5 linked regions of the Macaca mulatta genome follow. The protein of the gene in region 5 interacts with the protein of the main gene of each other region in a pairwise test. Links are inferred from orthologs where the notes say so. Each region holds a gene or a part of one and is shown on either strand. Other genes may lie near its edges.

Region 1 (3,579 bases), on a different chromosome or scaffold from region 5:
AAAGTGGTTCCAAACTAGAAATTAAAATCCTCCTCCTCTCCAGGCTGACCCCCAGAAGCCTGCTTTGTTATTAGTTTGGAGGACATCCTTGCAGACGTTTTCCTCTGCATTCGCATGCATGCAAATGTACTTCTGAATGCGCACATGTGTCTTTATAAGCAGGTAGCTTTTAACAAATAGCAGGTGGGGCCGGCACAGTGGCTCACACCTGTAATTCCAGCACTTTGGGAGGCTGAGCGGGGGGGATCACTTGAGGCCAGAAGTTGGAGACCAGCCTGGCCAACGTGGTGAATCACCATCTCTACTAAACATACAAAAATTAGATGGGCGTGGTGGCGGGCATCTGTAGTCCCAGCTACTCAGGTGGCTGAGGCAGGAGAATCGCTTGAACCCAGGAGGTGGTGGTTGCAGTGAGCTGAGATCATGCCACTGCACTCCAGCCTGGGTGATAGAGCAAGACTCTGTCTCAGTAAAAAAAAAAATAGGTGGAGCTGGGTGCAGTGGCTCATGCCTGTAATCCCAGCACTTTTGGAGGCTGAGGCAGGTGGATCACCTGAGGTCAGGGTTTCAAGACCAGCCTGGCCAGCATGATGAAACCCCGTCTCTACTAAAAATACAAAAAATTATCTGAGTATGGTGGTGCTCACTTATAATCCCAGCTACTCAGGAGGCTGAGGCTGGAGAATTGCTTGAACCCGGCAGGTGGAGGTTGCAGTGAGCTGAGATCATGCCATTGTACTCCAGCCTGGGTGATAGAGTAAGACTCCATCTCAAACAAAAAAGTTTCCTAGAGGTAAAATTGCAGGTTCAGAGGATGTGCATTTAATGACTATGAACATTTCCATTATTTATTTAACCATTTCCCTATCTGTGGACATTTAATGTTTTCAGGGTGTTGTGTTTGCTTTATTTTATTTTGCTATTATAAGGAGGGCTGTAGCAGTCTTATATCCTTTTTAGTGATAATGTGTGTGCCTGAATACTGGGATTTCATCATTATGAAGTAACTTGGTTAACTTTAGCAACTTTTACTTCTAGGATTACCATGTTGTTTTGCTTCATGTTTCAAGTGGAGGACAGAGCTTCATTTATGATCTCGATACTGTCTTGCCATTTCCCTGCCCCTTTGACACTTATGTAGAAGATGCCTTTAAGTCTGATGATGACATTCACCCACAGTTTAGGAGGTGAGGACATTCAGCATGGATTTACTTATTTTCTGAAGTAAGACTTTGACGATTCCCCAGAGGTTCTTTTTTTTGACAGTTGTTTTGTAAAGATCTCGTCTGGCATCACCATTGAGTTGATGTTTAAGAATGATGTATTTGCAACACAGGAGATTGAAAATGTTTTAAAACTTTAAAAGTTATCTATCATATAAAAGGTTGGCATTCTTTTAAAATTTTGTGTGTTGAGATCCCACACATTTAATTTCAAGCAGGTTGGGGATTTTTCTTATACTCTTTTTGTTTGGGGGTTTGTGGGGATACCTGGTGTCACCATTGAGAGGGCTGTGAAGGCAGCATCAGAAAATCATGCCCGTTGCCCTTGATACACAAATTGAGTACATCAAGGCAACCAGACATGTTTTTGTGCCTTTGTCTTTCTGTTTCGGGTTTTAGTTGATCATTTCCTATGCTTCTCTAATAGATAGTAAAGTTGCCTGTGTTACTAACCATACAGAAATGCATGAGTAGTTTTGTACATGTCATAGGAAATGAGTCCATATAAAAATTTGGTTGGAATTTCAAACATGACACCTCCCTAATGTGAGTGTATATTGATTTGTCTGCAGGAAATTTAGAGTGATCCGTGCAGATTCATATTTGAAGAACTTTGCTTCTGACCGATCTCACATGAAAGACTCGAGTGGGAATTGGAGAGAGCCTCCGCCGCCGTATCCCTGCATTGAGACTGGAGGTGAGCCAGGATGCCTTCTCAAAGGGATTCTGATTGATCATGTACACATCAGCATTTTTCTTTAACAGAGGACAAAAGTCAGGTCATTCTTTGAATAAAACTCCATGCATGAATCTCAGCACCTTGGGAGGCCGAGGCAGGCGGATACGAGGTCAGGAGATCGAGACCATCCTGGCTAACATGGTGAAACCCTGTCTTTACTGAAAATACAAAAATTAGCCGGGCGAGGTGGTGGGCGCCTGTAGTCCCAGCTACTCGGGAGGCTGAGGCAGGAGAATAGTGTGAACCCGGGAGGCGGAGCTTGCAGTAAGCTGAGATTGGGCCACTGCACTCCAGCCTGGGCGACAGAGTGAGTCTCCGTCTCAAAAAAAAAAAAAAAAGAAAAGAAAAAAAATTCCATAAATAAGGAGGTCATAGGAAATACTACTTCTGTGTGCGTGTTAGATTCAGAAATCAAGGCACAGGGAATAGGACTGGAAGGCATGAGAACTTGTGGGAGACAAAGTGTGTTAAGGATCAGAAGCATAGCACCTGCAAACTGCTGGATTATTGGATGTAGCTACTGCGGGGACACTGAACATCAGGAGACTCGCATGCTTGTGTCATGTAACAGCGGGACTAGTAGCGCCTTGCCATGGTAGGGTTTTGTGCTATGGTGAAAGAAATCCCCATTGCATCCTTATGATGTGTGAAATGTCACTTTGGCTATATAATAAAATCTGCATTAGAGGGAGGTGAGCGCTAGCAGGTTTGATTGTACCATTTGTCTCATTTATGTGCTTTTAGGTATCAGTCCAGTTGATAATTTCCTGACATTTAAGAAGATAAAGGTTCCTTCACCCTATTACTATTGTTTGGCATTCATATGAGTTTGAAGCATTATTTATGTTTGTAAGTAATTCTCAACAGTCCCACTTAGGGGTGAGATCATCCCAACACCTAGAAAATACAGTCTGTGTAAAAGTGCTCTGTGAGCTCTGCAGCATGTCAGAAAAGTAGGGCAGTAGTGTTAGTACTTCAACAAGGGTCTGAGCGTGGTGGCTCATGCCTGTAATCCCAGCACTTTGGGAGGCTGAGGTGGGTGGATCACCTGAGGTCAGGAGTTCGAGACCAGCCTGACCAATGTGGTGAAACCCCGTCTCCACTAAAAATACAAAAATTAGCTGGGCGTGGTGGTTTGTGCCTGTAGTCCCAGCTCCTTGGGAGACTGAGACAGGAGAATCACTTGAACCAGGAGGCGGAGGTTGCAGTGAACCAAGATTGTACCGCTGCACTCCAGCCTGAGTGACAAGAGTGAGATTCCGTCTAAAAAAAAGAAAAGAAAAAGAAAAAAATACTTTAACAAGGAAGAAACTAAAAAATACATTTGGCATATTTGAGGGAACTAAGAGAGGGTTCAAACTCTGATGTTTGAGGCTCCCTATGAAAAGCTCTCATAATTAAAAAAATTTATATTGGAATTGCTTATTGGTGTACAGAGCTGCTTCCTGGCCTCAGTGTGAGAACTGGGGAAGCTCCTGGTAAGGAGAGGGCTTGAGGGGTCTACCTTAGCATCTCTGGCAACCTGCTCTACAGGGCCTGTCTGGGCACAGTGTGCCTTTAGCAGCTACCTGTTTCCCCTCGAGATGTGAGCACCTAAGACAGAGCCTAGTGCATAGC
Region 2 (3,579 bases), on a different chromosome or scaffold from region 5:
TGGTTGGCTGTGACTGCAAGGATGGGTGTCGGGACAAGTGAGTTGGTGGGGAGAATTGCTGCCCCTGCTTCCAACTTTGTTATGGTTGTCTTCCTTTTCACCTCTTCCTTTCCCTTGTATCTGTACTGCTTTCCCCATCTTCCTTTACCTCCTCCCTCACCTGGAACTCGTGCTATAAGGCCTCCATGAAAGCTATGAGGTAGGGAGACTGGAGTCTGACATGGCCACACTGAGCAACCCTGGGTACATGTGTATTGTGTTATTTTGTTCTCTGATCCCCCCGCTCCTTTCCTTTATTTCTCTCTGTCATATAGGTCCAAGTGTGCCTGCCATCAACTAACTATCCAGGCTACAGCCTGTACCCCAGGAGGCCAAATCAACCCTAACTCTGGCTACCAGTACAAGAGACTAGAAGAGTGTCTACCCACAGGGTAAGTGGTCAAGGAATAGCACAATACCTCAGAGAGACTGAGGAGCATGTTCTTGTTTTTCTCTGCTTATAGAAATCATCAGAAATCTAAAAATTGGAACCAAAAATAGAATACCAGAACAGGCATTTTTTTTTTTTTTTTTTTTTTTTTTTTTGAGACGGAGTCTCGCTCTGTCGCCCAGGCTGGAGTGCAGTGGCCGGATCTCAGCTCACTGCAAGCTCCGCCTCACGGGTTTACGCCATTCTCCTGCCTCAGCCTCCCGAGTAGCTGGGACTACAGGCACCCGCCACCTCGCCCAGCTAGTTTTTTTTTTTTTGTATTTTTAGTAGAGACGGGGTTTCACCATGTTAGCCAGGATGGTCTCGATCTCCTGACCTTGTCATCCGCCCGTCTCGGCCTCCCAAAGTGCTGGGATTACAGGCTTGAGCCACCGCGCCCGGCCTAAGAGGCATTTTATTAATTAGATCTTATTTCCTGACTTCTCAAACACTTTTTTTCTTGGGCTTTCCTTGAAATGAAGACATAGGATGATTGAATAGTGTCTAGCAATTTTCTGTTGCAAAAAAAGATTATCTTAATTTCATAGCTAAATGAATGTCTTAACAGATTATGATTTACTCTTGTAAGTGACGTGTTCAGAGAGAAGTAGGCAGGGACTTGATTACATAGGGATTTATAAACCAGAATGAAAAAAGTTAGAATCAGGCTGATACAGTGGCTCACACCTGTAATCCCAGCACTTTCGGTTGCCGAGGTAGGTGGATCACCTGAGGTCAGGAGTTTGAGACCAGCCTGGCCAACATGGTGAAAGCCTCTCTCTACTAAAAATACAAAAATTAGCCAGGTGTGGTGGCGGGCGCCTGTAGTCCCAGCTACTCAGGAGAGTGAGGCAGGAGAATCGCTTGAACCCAGGAGGCAGAGGTTGCAGTGAGCCGAGATCGTGCCCGTGCACTCCAGCCTGGGTGACAAGAGCGAGGCTCTGCCTTAAAAAAAAAAAGAAAGAAAGAAAAAAGAAAAGTTAGAATCAAATTCATGGTGCTCTTAGAGAATTTTAAGCAGCCAAGTGATATGACCTACCTTTTTCAGATTACTCTGGCTTCTTTGTAGATCATAGGTCTTAGGATGGCAAAAGTAGATCTTGGAAGACCAATTAGGAGATCATCATAGGAGTATAGCAGAGAAAGACATGGTTGTAGCTATGGCTTGCAATAGAATGGAGGTGACAGTAGAGGTAAGAAGGATAGATTTGGGATGCATTAATAGATCTACAGAATTGGATAGATTGTGGAGTCGGGGGAAAAAGTAGAAGCAAAGACAATTCCTAAATTTTTGACTTGAGCATCTAAGTGGTTTTTGGTGCTTTTTACTGAGATGGAAGACCAAAGGAGTAATAGGTTTGAGTGAAATTCAGTTTTTGTTTTGGCCATGTTAAGTCCGAAATGCCTGTCAGGCAATCCAAGTAGAAACGTCAAGAAGGCACTGGGATTTCTGGAGAGAAGTGTAAGAGTTGGATATAAAAATTTAGGAATCATCAGCACAGGAATGATATTCAAAGCCTGGATGAGTTCACCTAGACACAACGTTGATAATAGAGAAGGTGGCTCAGGAGTAAGCCCTGGGTCCGCCAACATTTAAAGGTTGAGCAGAGGAGGTAGAACCAGCATGAGTTTGAGGACAGCTACTGAGGAGGGCAAGGCCGAAAGATTGCTTGAGGCCTGGAGTTTGAGACCAGACTGGGCAACATAGTAAGACCCTGTGTCTAAAAAAAAAATTGTTGGGGCCAGGAATGGTGGCTCACGCCTGTAATCCCAGCACTTTGCGAGGCCGAGGCAGGCAGATTGCTTGATGTCAGGAGTTCATGACCAGCCTGGTCAATATGGTGAAACCCCATCTCTACTAAAAATACAAAAACTAGCCGGGGATGGTGGCGAGCACCTATAATCCCAGCTACTTGGGAGGCTGACACAGGAGAATCACTTGAACCCAGGAGGAGGAGGTTGCAGTGAGCCAAGACCGCACCATTGCACTCCAGCCTGGGCAAGAAGAGTGAAATTACATCTCAAAAAAAAAATGGTTGGCCAGGCACAGTGACTCACGCCTGTAATCCCAACACTTTGGGAGGCCAAGGTGGGTGCATCACCTGAGGTCAGGAGTTCAAGACCAGCCTGGTCAACTTGGTGAAACCCCATCTGTACTAAAAATACAAAAATTAGCCAGGCATGATCACGCACGCCTGTAATCTCAGCTATTTGGGAGGCTGAGGCAGGAGAATCACTTGGACCTGGAAGGCAGAGGTTACAGTAAGCTGAGATTGTACCACTGCACTCCATCCTGGGCAACACAGCAAGACTCTGTCTCAAATAAATAATTTAAAAATAAATTTTTTTTTTTTTTTTTTTTTTTGAGATGGAGTCTTGCTCTGTCACCCAGGCTGGAGTGCAGTGGCGTGATCTCAGTTCACTGCAAGCTCCACCTCCCGGGTTCACGCCATTCTCCTGCTTCAGCCTCCCGAGTAAGTAGCTGGGACTACAGGCACCCGCTAATCCAGGCCTGGCTAATTTTTTGTATTTTTAGTAGAGACAAGGTTTCACTGTGTTAGCCAGGATGATCTCGATCTCCTGACCTCATGATCCGCCCGCCCCAGCCTCTCAAAGTGCTGGGATTACAGGCGTGAGCCACTGTGCCTGGCCTAAATTTTTAAAAAATTAGCCGGGCATGGTGGGTGCATGCCTGTAGTCCCAGCTACTTGAGAGGCAGAGGCAGAAAAATCACTTGAGCCCAGTAGTTCAAGGCTGCAATGAGCTATGATCACGCCACTACACTCTAGCCTGGGGTGACAGAGCGTGACTCATCTTTAAGGAGGAGGACAACAAAAGAGTGGAGTATAGCATGGTAAATTGGTATATATAAACACGTGAACTAATAAACATAGTGATCAAGATACATAATTAACAAAACAGCGAGGAGAAAAGCATCAGTGAAGTAATTCAGAAAGTGTCCCATAATTGAAGGGTCTGTGTTTCTGAATTGAAAGGGCCAATTAGGTCCCAAAATAATGAAGGATAAAGGTAGATTCTCATTTAGAGACATTATCATAAAATGTCAGAACACTGAGGGGAAAAAAAATCCTAAAAGCTTCCAGAGAAGA
Region 3 (4,068 bases), on a different chromosome or scaffold from region 5:
CTGGTTCTGGAGGAAGGGGTTGGGGGATGAAATTCTTAGATCCCAAGTGGGAAGAGGATACTGGTGGCCCAGACCCTCGGTTCTGGTGGAGGAGGGTGTTGGGGTCCTGGTTCCTGGGTTCTGGGGGCTGGGGACGGGTGGGCCAAGGTCCTGACCTCCTGTGCCTCCTGATGCCTCCGGGTTGAACTCTCGCATTGGTCCATGCGCTCCTGGTGCAAGAACCGGCAGCCTTCAGGCACCAGCAGGGCCTCGCTCACAAATTCACCAGCTGGGGAAGCACGGGACACCAGGGTGAGACCCTCCTACAGCACCAACCCCACCCTCCTCAGAATCCAGATATTTTATCCTCAGAGGCTTCTCTGCCCCACTTAGGACACAAGCACCCACCCCCTTAATGTGGGCCCGAGAGAGGGGCTCAGAATTTTGCCCCTCGGAAACTCCCACCTCAGTTCCCCTCTCCCCGCCTGGGACTCACGCAGGCAGCGGAAGGGCACAACCTGGTGGTGGGGGTGGGTGCAGCTGCCGCTCCGGGCACCCCCGCACCAGCGCTCCATGGGGATGGCCTGGGTAGCCTGCTCTACACGTGCGATCTGCAGCTCCGGGTACATCTGGGGGGGTTAAATGGGGGCAATCAGCCCACAGCCCCGCCTCTGCCAGCCACCCCTCTCCAGTAGTCAGGTCCCCTTTCTTCCCTCCCTCCCTCCTTTCTCTCTCTCTCTCTGTCTTTCTCTCTTTCTCTCTTTCGGAGATTTGCTCTTGTCGCCCAGGCTGGAGTGCAATGGTACAATCTCGGCTCACTGCAACTTCCTCCTCCCAGGTTCAAGCTATTCTCCTGTCTCAGCCTCCCGAGTAGTTGGGATTACAGGCACGCACCACCATGCCCGGCTAATTTTTGTATTTTTAGTAAAGACAGGGTTTCGCCATGTTGGCCAGGCTGGTCTCGAACTTCTGACCTCAGGTGATCCGTCCGCCTCCGCCTCCCCAAGTGCTGCGATGACAGGCGTGAGCCACTGCGCCCGGCCAGGTCCGTTTTCAAGGCTATCTTTTTTCCTGTGCTGTTTCTTTCTGAAGGTCCCTCTAAGCCCACCTCTCTGGTCACCCCTCCCCGCAGTCAGATTCGTCTCCCCAAAGGTCTCACCCTCCTTTTAGCCCTGCCTTTTCCTCTATTTCGCCTCTCCAAAGCTCTCCCTTCCCATTACAGACTTGTCTTTTCGTGGCCACGCCCCCCAGCTCTCCGCGCTTTCATTGGGCGCCACCCCTTTCCCCATCTCGCTGGTCCTTAAGGTCTCTTTCTGTCTTAGCCCCGCCTATCCTTTCGCCACTCCCCACTACACCTCTGCTTTTTACAAAGACCACCAGATTCCTAAATTCCACTTCTTCTCTGGCTATCTCGCGGTTCTCCCCCTTTCCTGACTTAGTATCTCAAAACAGGTCCCCTGCCCTAGCATAGTTGCGCCTCTTTATTGGCCACGTCCGCTAGCTTCCACGTCTTAGATCCCGCGGCACCTTGGACCACGCCTTTTTCAAGTGTAGCTTTCTACGGGCGGCCCCGCCTCGTTTGGGGCCCGCTTTCCCGCTGGCCCCGCCCCTCCCGCTCGGCCCCGCCCACCTGTCTGCAGTACTCCAGCACGCGCTGCGGGTCCCGGAGACAGCGTCGAGAGCGCTGTGGGTCTGGTTCCCAGCGGCCGGTGCGCAGGTCCCGGTGAAGGGTTAGGCGCCCGCATAGTCCAGCCACCTGGGCCGACCCCTGGGCCTGGATGGAAGTGGAGGGGATAATGAGGGCCCGGGGGGCGTTGGCATGAGGGTCCCCTGGTTCTTTGCTCCCTAGGACCGAGACCCCCAGCACCAGCCCCCTCCCCCAAGCACCGTTGTGCACACCGCCTCCATGGAGGCACCGTTCCCTGGGAAACAGCTCCCGTAGGGCGGGGGCGCCCTAGCTCTCCCGTTGCTATGGCGACCCGGGTCCCCCGGGATTCTTTCTGCCTTGTTGCCGCGGAGACAGACTCCGCCCCGACCCCAGCTCAGCCGCTCTGGAGCCCGAAGGGGTTAAACCTGAATCGCGGAGGAGGCCTGAACCCAGGCGTTCTGGCCCCTCCTCCCTCCATCCCTTGCTCAGGCTCCGGTTGCAGGGTGCAAAGCTGATAAGGCCTGGCTTCAGGGGCCTACAGTCCTGGACACCAGGTCCTTGAGGACTGGAGAGCTACATCTGGTTGGGGTGGGTGGTGACTGAAGGACCGGACTCCTGGGTCCTGGGAGGCTGCAAGGGCCTCCATATGGGTCCAGAGAATACAAGGGGTCTGGATTATTGGATCTAAGTGCCTCGCTGCTTGGTGGGTCCTATGTCCAGGAGGGAGGGGGTTGGGACCTAGTCACCTGGGTCTGGAGAGGGGGCTGGACTTCTGGGACCAGGGGCTCTGAATAGACCAGTTCCTATGCTCGGGGTGGGAGGGGGCTGGGACGTCGGAGGATGGGGGAGCTGGGGCCTGGAACCCTGGGTTCATAAATGCGGTTGGGGGCGCCTGGGGGCTGACCACCTGGCTGGAAAGACCGCGCTTTCTGTCCTGTACATGTCCGCGCTGGCGTCCAAAGACCCGGTCCCGCCCCTTCCCCCATCCCCCAGGACCCGGCCCGGCCTCACCTCGGCCGCGCCGGGGCTCCCACCGGCCAGGCTCCCGATGGCGGGCTGCGCGCGCAGAAGCAGCAGCAATAGTGGCAGCAGCAGCGGCAGCGGCGGCTGGCCCGGGCGGCGACTTAGACCGCGAGCAGCGGGGCTGGCTGGCCCCATGTCCCGGCCCTTGAGCCCTCACGTCCCCTGCACTCCCGCCCGGCCCGGCCCCAGCGGTGACAGGAGCTCCCAGCGCCACCGCCGCCACCTCCTCCTCCCGCCGCCCCCGGGCTGCGCCGGCGCCGCCAGCCACGCCCCGCGCCGGCCCCGCCTTCCTGGCCAGGACAATAGCGTGGCGGCTCCGCGCAGAGTGGAGCAGCTCTGGAACCCCGGGCGGGAGCCTGCGCCAGGCCCCCGCCCCTGGAGATTCCAGGCGTCCCGCCCCATGAAGGGCCCAGCCAGGAGTCCTGCTATGGGCTCAGCCCGTTGTGGATTTTGAGTCCTCCCGCAGGACTCTCACCCTCTTTAGACCCAGACACTCACAGTTTTGTCCTTCTCCAAGGATGCAAGCATCAGAGACCCCCGTCCCCTAGTAAATTCCTCTGTTGAGGGCTCAGGAATACAGGCCTCCAAAATGTCCCGTCAAGATGGCAGCAGTTGAGACCCAGTCCCCTCCTCTTTCAGATCCAGAAGTCCGGGCACCTTCTCTCTCAGGACCAGAGACCAAGCCCCCAGCCCATTCTCCCTCAGAACCAGGAGTTCAGTCTTCCTGCTCTGCTTCCCAAGGGTCCCAGGGGCCTGGATCTTTAACTCCTAGCTCAAGGATCCATGAACCAAAGCCCCCGGGACCTTTCTTTAAGGATCACCCAAGCAGGCACCAGCACTATGCCCACTGTGGATGCAGCGCCCCAGGATTAGGGTCTGGATCTCCACCCTTGCTGTAAGGACCAGGGGATTGCCATTTTCATGCCCATAGTCTCCTTCTCTGTCCCACTTCAGGGCTCACTCGTTTGTCTCCTCTAATGAGAGTGTAGAACTCTGTCTTTCCCAGGACCCCTGGGGCAGCCCTGTCACATGTGTGCAACTGTGTGGACATCTATGCGTGTGTCTGTGCATACATGCCAATGTGTGTGTCTTTTCTGTTTGCAACTCGTGTGTGTGTGTGTGTGTGTGTGTGCGTGTGTGTATGAAGATGTATATTAAAAGAGTCCATGACTGGGCACAATGGCTCACGCCTGTAATACCAGCACTTTGGGAGGCCTAGGTAGGCGTATCACTTGAGGTCAGGAGTTTGAGACCAGCCTGGCCAACAGGATGAAATCCTGTCTCTACAAACAAATACAAAAATTAGCTGGGTGTGGTGGTGTGCACCTGTAGTCCCAGCTACTTGGGAGGCTGAGGTGGAAGGATGGCTTGAGCCCAGGATGCAGATGTAGCAGTGAGCTGAGATGGTGCCACTGCAC
Region 4 (4,248 bases), on a different chromosome or scaffold from region 5:
GTATTGACACCCACTGGCAGTAGAACTTTGGGTTTCACTCCACTTTGGAAGCCATAAGCAACTGGAAAAACCATTGGATATTCATAGTAGGGTTTCATAATCACTATTCCAACTGGTCATGAGCAGTTCAATGCATAAGCGCTCATTAAGAATGTCTTTACAGGCCAGGTGCAGTGGCTCATGCCTGTAATCCTAGCAGTTGGGAGGCCAAGGCAGGCGGATCGCTTGAGCCCAGGAGTTCGCGATCAGCCTGGGCAACATGGCAAGATCCTGTCCCTACAAAAATTACAAAAACTAGCTGGGCATGGTGGCATGTGCCTGTAGTCCCAGCTACTTGAGAGGCTGAAGTGGGAGGATCACCTGAGCCTGGGAGGCAGAGGTTGCAGTGAGCCGAGATGGCACCAAGGCACACGAGACTGAGTGACAGAGACCCTGTCTCAAAATAAATAAATAAATAAATAAATAAATAAATAAGTCTTCGCAGCCATATTAATAGGTAGGGGAAATGAAGTGCCCAGAATCAGTGTTTCTAGCTCATAGTGGAACAACAGATCCTTAATAGCCTGAAAAGTTTTGTACAGGCTTAAACATCTGTACAAAACTCCAAACCTTTCCTTTCATTGTTACTACTTTTGATTCTTTGATAGCTATATCTTGCGGATTTGTTTGTTTGTAATAGTGAGATACAAACTCAAGGGTTTAAAGGTTTAACCAGTTTGGCAAAACTACTAAGTCATAGATTGCGGACTGGAACTCTGGCCTATCTTGCACCAAGCTCCTCTTTGCTGGAAAAGGTCAAATTTTACTTTTGAAACAAACAAACAAACAAACAAATATGTAAAATGTTGTCCCAATAAATTTAAGTTGCAAGTTTTATATGAATTTACTGCTAATTTTACAGCTGAAACACTTCAGTGTATAGTCAGTTACTTTTCTGTCAGGAACTCAATAGAACAGGCATTACAGCATATGTTCTTACCTGCTGGTCTACTAACGTGCTACACTAGTTGCATCATGATAACTAAGGTCCTTCCACTGGTCAGAGGTCAAGGTTTTCAAATCCCCTGATTATTAACATTATTAGGCAAGTTTAAACTACTTGTACACAATAAACATTCAATATTTGTTTAGTGAGGAAGGACACAAATCCTACTAGTTGTAAGAAGAGATTTAAAGTTTCTCCAAGCACACTCAGATTCAAGTGGGAAAACTTTTACGTTAAAACATTAACATTTACTTATGGTCATGTATTTCGCATTATGATATGCACTTCAAAGTTCATTCTCTAAAAACATTTAATTTTGTTTTCATTTGGATATGTGAAGCACACCTGTAAAAGTCAACAAAGATGAAAGTTGGATGATTTCCTGGAATTCAAAAGTGCTACCTCCTTTTTGTAAAATCCATCATAATGTGTATTTATGCTAAACACCCAAATACCTAACAAAAGAGACCTTGTGAATGATCCTGGCAGCTAAAGAGCAATCTTACAGACGGATGATCAACAACTGCAGTTTTGACTGCAGCTGTTACTGGTGTGGATTAAAATTAAACAATGAGCAAAACAGCACAAGTAACAATATGGAGCATAAATAACAGCGTGGAAGTGTTTGGGTACCGACTGGCTCAGGGTACCTGGCACTGAAGATTCAAGAAGGTGAACAGAGAATGCTAAGGTTGATAAGAGGTGCCTATTCGCCTATTTTGTGGACAATCTTAAAACGGTTTAAAAACTAGGAGGGAAGTTTAAAAACGGGGGGTAAAAAACGACAACAAGAAAAACCTAGCCCTAGAAACGTTTCTCGGAATAAAGTTAGATGTCTTCAGGACACCCTGTTAACAGGGGTGCCAACCGGTTGGAAACTTGTAGGTTCCAGTATTCACTTTTTTCCCCAAAGTCTACAATGTGACTGAAAAGTACTGAGAATTCCAGCGAGAATAAGGCAGACGTGATCTGAAATTTATGATGCTGTCTACCAAAAACTTGGGCTCGAGGCCAGCACCTAAAAAAACAAAATCTAAAGATCAGGCCACAAAAGAAATCAGGACACCCTCAAGCACAGATTACCTTACGCTGCCTCCAGACAAACCTACCAGATTACTAGCCTCTTGTCACCAAAAAAGGGAAACAAGGGCTGAGAAAGAAGCCGGGCGCGAAGCCCTGGCCTTCGAAGGTTCGCTTTAAGAACAGAAAGGCACTGATTTCCTCAGTCCTCGCCCCTTGGGGCGAGCTGGGCAAGTCGGGGCAGCAGGCAGCTGTGTCGCCAGCACAAGGCGTGAATCGGGGAGGAGGGCGTGGCACCTTCTCTTCCCGTTCGCTCGAGCAGGCGCGACCCACGGGCATCGTCTCCCTAGAGAGCACTCAGACATCTATGACACGACGCCTTGCCTCACCTCTCCGCAGGGCCGGCGAGAAATGCCCGCGGGGGCTTGAAACCCAACGATCCCCTCTGCCTTGGGAGAGCAAGAGCCGCCAAGCCTGGCGACTATTCATGGCCTCAGAGTTTTCCGGCGGACGGGAGGCGGAAGACGGGGTAAATCTCGCACAGGCTTTCGGGCAAGGTAGTTCTGGCACCGCAGGAATGCTGGGAATTGTAGTTTTCGCTCTGTCACAAGACCACCTTCCAGCGCGGGCGCCACAGTGGTGCCACGAAACTGGGCCTCTTCGCAGGCCGACCCACAGTTCACGAGCAATGCTCAGCGCTGTCCCACTACTCCCACCGCCCCTTCCCGACCTGTGAACGCCTTTACCGTCTTAGGAAGGCGGGATCTTGTCGGAGAACCTTCTGGCGCCTGTTTCCTGGCAGCGGCGCATAGTCCAACAGCTGGCTCCCCCAAGATTGCCAGCGGCCATTAAGCGCTTGGGTCGGGGGAGATGGAGTCGTATTTAGCCGCACAGCAGTCTGGGACCTGAAGTTCTCGGCCGCTGAGCATTCTGGGTGATTGCGTAGTGCGGAGGCCAAAGAAACCTTCTGGGAAGTGTAGTCCAGCAAGTCGTTCACTGACCGTGCAGCGTCACATCCTGCTGCTTCGCCGTCTGGTGCACGGGAGGACCAACTAATTTTAGTCGGTATATTCTTTCTTTAGGGAAGATGAATTCCTCCGTTTCTGCGAGAAATTCCTTAATTTTTCACCATTTATCCTTCCCAGACCTCACTCAAGACTTTGCTGCGCATAGTAAAATGCTGAAAGCATCAATGCACAGTAGTTGTATTAAAATGCACCAATACTCATGAATATTCTCGGTAAATCCTAAAATGGCACACAGTTGTGCGGTTGCAGTGGCTTATTCTCGCAAGATTCTAAACAATTACGGCTAGGTTTCTATCTATATGTATTCAAAGCTTTGTGAGAGCTACGTAACAAACACCATTTCTAAGGCCCGAAGCACACTGAAAGAAGAACAAAACTTAATTTCCGCCCACAAGTGCTTTAACAGACAATTCATGAAGAGGAAATATAAATCGCTATTTAAAACATTAGGATGGCCAGGAGTGGTGGCTCACACCTGTAATCCCAGCACTTTTGAGAGGCCGAGGCGGGCAGATCACCTGAGGTCGGGAGTTCGAGACCAACCTGACCAACATGAAGAGACCCTGTCTATATTAAAAATACAGAATTAGCCAGGCGTGGTGGCACATACCTGTAATCCCAGCTACTCGGGAGGCTGAGGCAGGAGAATCGCTTGAACTCTGGAGGCGGAGGTTGCAGTGAGTCGAGATCACACCATTGCACTCCAGCCTGGCCGACAGAGCGAGATTCCATCTAAAAAAAAAAAAAAAAGGGAAAAAAGTTTAATCTCACCAGTTTCAAAAAACAAAAAGCAAAACCCTAGAGTATGTCGAGGTTTGGGGTCCCAACGATCCCAACAGGATGTAAGCATAGTACTCAACAGGTGCTTCTTCAGCTCACACCCCTCTGTGCCTCTCCCCCTTTCCTCATCTAATGATATTCAGTGTCTCTTGTTTCCATGTTTACCATCATATAGTCAATGTTTAGCTCCTAAGTGAGAACATGTGTGTTTGGTTTTCTGTTCTTGGTATTAGGTTGCATAGGATAATGGCCCCCAACTCCATCCATGTTGCTATAAAGATTATAATTTCCCTATTTGTATTGCTGCATAATATTCCATGGTGTATATGTGCCACATTTTCTTTATCCAGTCCACTGTTGATGGGCACTTAAGTTGATTTCATGTCCTTGCTATCGTGAATGGCACCACAATGAACACACAATTCCATGTGTTCT
Region 5 (4,350 bases):
TACTAACTGCTGGAATACTCTGTGGACCAGTGCTACCAAAATCCATCTGCTGGAGGGTCACACCTTGGAGAGCTGGTTGTTGCTGTTGTTGCTGCTGCTGCACCACCACAGTAGGAGCTCCCATCTCTCCACTTCCCACACTCTCTGTATAGTGACTCAGTGTGCTGACACTACTGCTCACTGAACTCCCACTAGTGCTCTCCCTTTCAGAAGTCACTTCTATCGGATTTTGCTTTACAGTCTCCACCACTTTATTTATCAGCACACCTTCTGTAGCAGGTACAGCATTTTCTTTTTCATAGAACTCAGTGCAAGTCCATCTACCTTTTTTAAAGGGCTCAGAACTAGAATCTAACTTCACAACTCTGAACCTCGAAGTGTTAACTGTTGGTTGTTGCTGCTGACTTGAAACCGATCCCCCAGTCATCCCTGCAGCTGCAATAGGGACACTGCTAACGGCAGCGGAGGAAGAAATAGTACCATTGCCCATGCCACTCAAGATATTCACATTAACACCACTGGTAACTCCAGGCCCAACACTCACACTAGCAGCACTAGGAATATTGCTTGTACTTATATTAGCATTACCAAGCATGCTGCTTGTCATATTAGGATTCAAACTACCCACAGCAGTAATATTATTTACTGTACTAGTGCCAGTAACAGAACTTACACCTATTCCACCTGTAGTACTTGGAGCACGTATATTAGTCATTACAGATGCAGGTGAACCACTGGATGATACAGCAGAAGTTGGTGCAACTGGTGTGATACTGTCAGAGCTTCCAGTTGTAGAGAGTTTTCTAGATACTGGGCTTGAGGGTGGCCCACCAGGAATGGATGCACTGGCCACAGCAACATGAGATGGATGGTGGTGCCCATGTTGGAGGTGGTGCCCATGATGAATGTGATGGTGGTGATGGAGGTGGTGTGGATGAGCATTCCCATTGATCACAACATTCTGTTGTGGAAGGTGAGGCAAATGAGGCTGAGGAAGGTGGGGCTGGTTGGGAGAGACTGCCCCAGGTGTCTCGGCTTCCTGGAAGTTATTTAGGGTCTCTTCTGAGGAGCTGCGTTCGGGCTCCCCTAAGTCAGTAGCCCTGGAAAGTGACACATCAAGGATCTCCGAAGAAGAGAGATCTTCTGTGTGAGATTCATCCAAATCATCATAGCTCTCAGTGTCCTCTGCTATACTGTTGTTAGAGCTGATACTAGCGGAGATCTGAGCAGGAGTAACGCTAGTTATCTGGAAGCCACTTTTCTTTTTCATTTGAGTTCCGCCTGGCGCAAGAGGCTGTGCCTGCAGCTGAGCCTGCGAAAGGAGGTTCAGGCTTTGTGGAGGCGGAGGCTGTGGTCCCGACGTAGATGCTGCAGGGGGCGGCGGCTGAAGCAGCGACGGAGGCGGAAAATCCTCGGAAGATGTGGCACTACTACCGACGCCGGTACCTGCTGCATTGAGAGCAGAGGCGCTGCCACTACCGCTGCCCCTTCGAGGGAACACTGCCGGGTGCGCCATCTTCCTAGCGCTAATGTCTGCAGCGGCGGCGGCGGCCGCGGCGGTGGACTCAGGCGGCTGGTGCATTGTGTTGGGTACCGGGGGGGGGCCTAGGAGGCGAGTGCAATTTCCTTCTGCACCGTAATCTTTGTATTCGAGACGCCGGAGAGGAAAACGGGACCTGACGCTCCGCCTGGCGCGATTCCTCCTTCTCCTCCTCCTCAGCCGAAGGCGCCGGTCGCTCCTGCCTTCGAGAGCGAGCTTCGGAAAGGAGGATGAACGAGGGTGAACAGGGCGGCCGGGGACCCGAAGGGGGGACCCCTTCAGTCCTTCGCCATTCACTTTCCCCTGTAGCCTCACACCCCCCTTTATATTCCGTTTCACGTGGGGTGCGGGGCAGGAGGGAGGGGGAGAGCGCAGGAGGGGGAGGAAAAGCGAGAAATGCCCACCTTCTCCGGCCAACTCCGAAGCCGCCTCAGCCCCCTCCTCCCGCCGCGGCGGCGGCCGCTGCAAAGCCCTCCCGGCCGCTCTGCACGGAGGCAGCGCCGAGCAAGTGTCGCCTTCCCCTCGCCACCCCCGGGGCCGCCGCCGCAGGCGAGCCCCGAGCTCAGTGTCGCTCAAACCTCCCCTCCCGGCCCCGCTCGGCCCTCCCCCCGCGCCCCGCAGACCCTTTCAAACCCCCTGGGCTCGCGGCGGCTGCTCGGTGAGGAAACGCTGGCCGCGGCTGGGGCCGGGGCGACGCGGCTGCGAGCGGGGCGGCGGCGGGGCGCCCGGTACGGTGAGCCCAGCAACGAGGCGCGGGCGGGCGCGCAGAGACGCCGGGTCCTCGCGGAGCACGGCCGGGGCGCGGCGGCGGCGGTGGCAGCGGGAGCCCAGGGACCGCTCCATCACTGGCAGCCATGGAGCCCGAGCATTTTCCTCCCTCAGGGCAGGCGCCTCGGCTCGGCACACGTCCTCGGGGAGGAAGGGGCCGGCGCCCGAGCCTCCCCGGAGGGCGGCGGGACGTGCGCTAGGGCGGAGGGTGCGACCCTCTCTTGTCCTCTTCCTCCGCAGCCGGCTCTTCCTCACCCCGCTGCTCCCGCGACCGAGCGGGAGGGGGCCACAGGCGGCGGCGGCTCCTTTCTCGGCGGCGTTGGTGGCCAGACGGGCTGGTGCAGCGACTGCAGCCGACGCCGTTCAAAGGAACGAGAGGTGGGGTTGGTCGGTGTCGGCAAACGGGGCGGGGGAGTGGGTGGGTGCCGAGGGAGGGTGTCGGGCGGGGAGGGGGCTATGGTGGTTGTTACTAGTGCTCTTCTTCGGCTCCCCCGGCTCTACCGTATCCCCCAGTCTCTCGCGGCATCGGGAGGGGAGGGACCAGCGCGGAGCGCAGGAGGAGGAGGGGCGACCGCCGGCGAGAGGAGGCGGTGGTGGAGGGGGAGGGGGCAGGCGGAGGAGGAGGAGGGAAGATGGCGTCTGCGCATGCGCCTCGGCGCCGCAGACATAAAGCCGGGTCTGGCGGGGCAGGAGGCGGCGGATCTTCGGGCCTGTGCGAGCGCCGGGTCTCCCGACGGAAATTGCCGAAGGCTGGCGGAGGCGCCGAAGCCGGGAGTGGTGGAGCCGGAGGGGATAGTGGGGGTGGGGAATTTCGGCCAAAGGAGCGAATCCGGGTCGGACTGCCTGCTTCGGCCCGGTGGGGGTGGGCAGGGTGCGCGCCTGCCGCGCGCGCAGGCTAGGTGTGTCCGCTCTTTTCACACTCGCGGCCGGCGCGCGCGGGCACGCGGCAGAGGAGGGGGCGCGGCGCGGAAGGGCCGGCGGAGGCGGCGGGAGCGCCGGCGCTTGGTGTGCGCGCCCTGGGTGGTGTCCCCCGCCTGCGGAATGGGTAATGAGGCTTTTCTCCGCAGCAACAGCATCACGAGTTTCAGTTCCCAGGAGCCCGCCGCCGCCGCCGCCGCTGCCACGACATGAGTCAGGCTTTCTTCCCCGGCGCGTGGCGGAAACCTCCTCCCCCTCGCCGCACCTGGGCTCGCCCCCGGCCCTCGCCTCCTCGGGGGATGCCCCAGCGCCGGGAGCTGCGGGGTCTACGGAAGGCCGGTGGCTCCCAGTGATAGGTGTTGTCTTTTGTGCAGTGCAGTTGCTGCCATGCGGTCTCCTCGCCCTTCCACGGGCAGGGGCGAGGCAACCGGACAGATGTTGCAGCTGTTTCCAGTTAACTGCCTTAGCTCCTCTGGGGTAGGCTCTTCTCTAACGAGGAGTGGTTGCAATGCATCCTTAACTGGAGGACACAGGCAGGCCGGCCCTGTAAACGACTGATCTCAACAGGTGTCTCCAAGCAGCGACGCCTTTTTCGTTCATTGTCCTGGCTATATCCCCATTGGTTTGACTCAAGAGGCAAGGTGGCCCGGACATGTGAGCAACACAAATGATAAGCATGCCTTTTAGGGCTAGAAAAGAAAAAGCCATCAGAAATTCCAGTTTTAAAACACACACCCACACATATTACATTTCATGGGTCCGACTATAGTTCTACAGAAGCAATGTTAGGTTTGATTGGGGGCAATTTACTGGCAGTTACTTTATTGGCATTTCATGTCAAAACCTAGTTCTAAGCATTTCTTACCAATAATCGAGAATGTCCGTCTCTCCCAGGAATTTAAAAATGATAAAGCAAGCCCAAAAGCTGTAGGGAGGAATTTTCATTTTGTTAAATTTAGGTTAGGGGAATCGGCGCTTATGGTTAGACCTCTGATTCAGGAAATCTCACGGATTTACATTCCTATTTCAGAAGATTGTTAAAGCAAAAACGATTGTCATTTGCAGTTTTGATACACCTCTAGTTGTCAATTCAACTTTTTACCTTTAGTTTTCGCTGAACTCTT

The links.
Region 1: the proteins of TSC22D1 (region 5) and NTAQ1 interact in binary tests that used the Homo sapiens proteins (3 or more experiments, as listed by UniProt). The two-hybrid records come from large-scale screens. The link is inferred for Macaca mulatta from reciprocal best matches to the Homo sapiens genes TSC22D1 and NTAQ1.
Region 2: the proteins of TSC22D1 (region 5) and SETDB1 interact in a two-hybrid assay, tested with the Homo sapiens proteins (2 studies listed by BioGRID and IntAct). The link is inferred for Macaca mulatta from reciprocal best matches to the Homo sapiens genes TSC22D1 and SETDB1.
Region 3: the proteins of TSC22D1 (region 5) and APLP1 interact in a two-hybrid assay, tested with the Homo sapiens proteins (2 studies listed by BioGRID and IntAct). The link is inferred for Macaca mulatta from reciprocal best matches to the Homo sapiens genes TSC22D1 and APLP1.
Region 4: the proteins of TSC22D1 (region 5) and CCDC90B interact in a two-hybrid assay, tested with the Homo sapiens proteins (2 studies listed by BioGRID and IntAct). The link is inferred for Macaca mulatta from reciprocal best matches to the Homo sapiens genes TSC22D1 and CCDC90B.

The regions. Positions count from the first base shown.
Region 1 is NC_133413.1:133,855,561-133,859,139, forward strand, and holds part of NTAQ1 (protein N-terminal glutamine amidohydrolase), read left to right. Parts: intron 1-1,038; coding exon 1,039-1,187; intron 1,188-1,795; coding exon 1,796-1,920; intron 1,921-2,706; coding exon of another isoform or gene 2,707-2,789; exon of another isoform or gene 2,790-2,811; intron 2,812-3,579. UniProt on the Homo sapiens protein: Mediates the side-chain deamidation of N-terminal glutamine residues to glutamate, an important step in N-end rule pathway of protein degradation.
Region 2 is NC_133406.1:116,154,926-116,158,504, reverse strand, and holds part of SETDB1 (histone-lysine N-methyltransferase SETDB1), read left to right. Parts: coding exon 1-37; intron 38-314; coding exon 315-431; intron 432-3,579. UniProt on the Homo sapiens protein: Histone methyltransferase that specifically trimethylates 'Lys-9' of histone H3. H3 'Lys-9' trimethylation represents a specific tag for epigenetic transcriptional repression by recruiting HP1 (CBX1, CBX3 and/or CBX5) proteins to methylated histones.
Region 3 is NC_133424.1:47,115,006-47,119,073, reverse strand, and holds the start of APLP1 (amyloid beta precursor like protein 1), read right to left. Parts: upstream 2,849-4,068; 5' UTR 2,786-2,848; coding exon 2,639-2,785; coding exon of another isoform or gene 2,592-2,638; intron 1,810-2,591; coding exon of another isoform or gene 1,754-1,809; coding exon 1,610-1,753; exon of another isoform or gene 1,566-1,609; intron 720-1,565; exon of another isoform or gene 609-719; coding exon 476-608; intron 269-475; coding exon 156-268; intron 1-155. UniProt on the Homo sapiens protein: May play a role in postsynaptic function. The C-terminal gamma-secretase processed fragment, ALID1, activates transcription activation through APBB1 (Fe65) binding. Couples to JIP signal transduction through C-terminal binding.
Region 4 is NC_133419.1:83,821,739-83,825,986, forward strand, and holds the start of CCDC90B (coiled-coil domain-containing protein 90B, mitochondrial), read right to left. Parts: upstream 2,861-4,248; 5' UTR 2,495-2,860; coding exon 2,395-2,494; intron 1-2,394.
Region 5 is NC_133422.1:23,894,599-23,898,948, forward strand, and holds the start of TSC22D1 (TSC22 domain family protein 1), read right to left. Parts: upstream 2,848-4,350; 5' UTR 2,687-2,847; coding exon of another isoform or gene 1,937-2,686; 5' UTR 1,583-1,936; coding exon 1-1,582. Other genes in the region: uncharacterized protein LOC106994248, read left to right, coding at 1,937-2,686, 3,376-3,579. UniProt on the Homo sapiens protein: Transcriptional repressor. Acts on the C-type natriuretic peptide (CNP) promoter. Acts to promote CASP3-mediated apoptosis.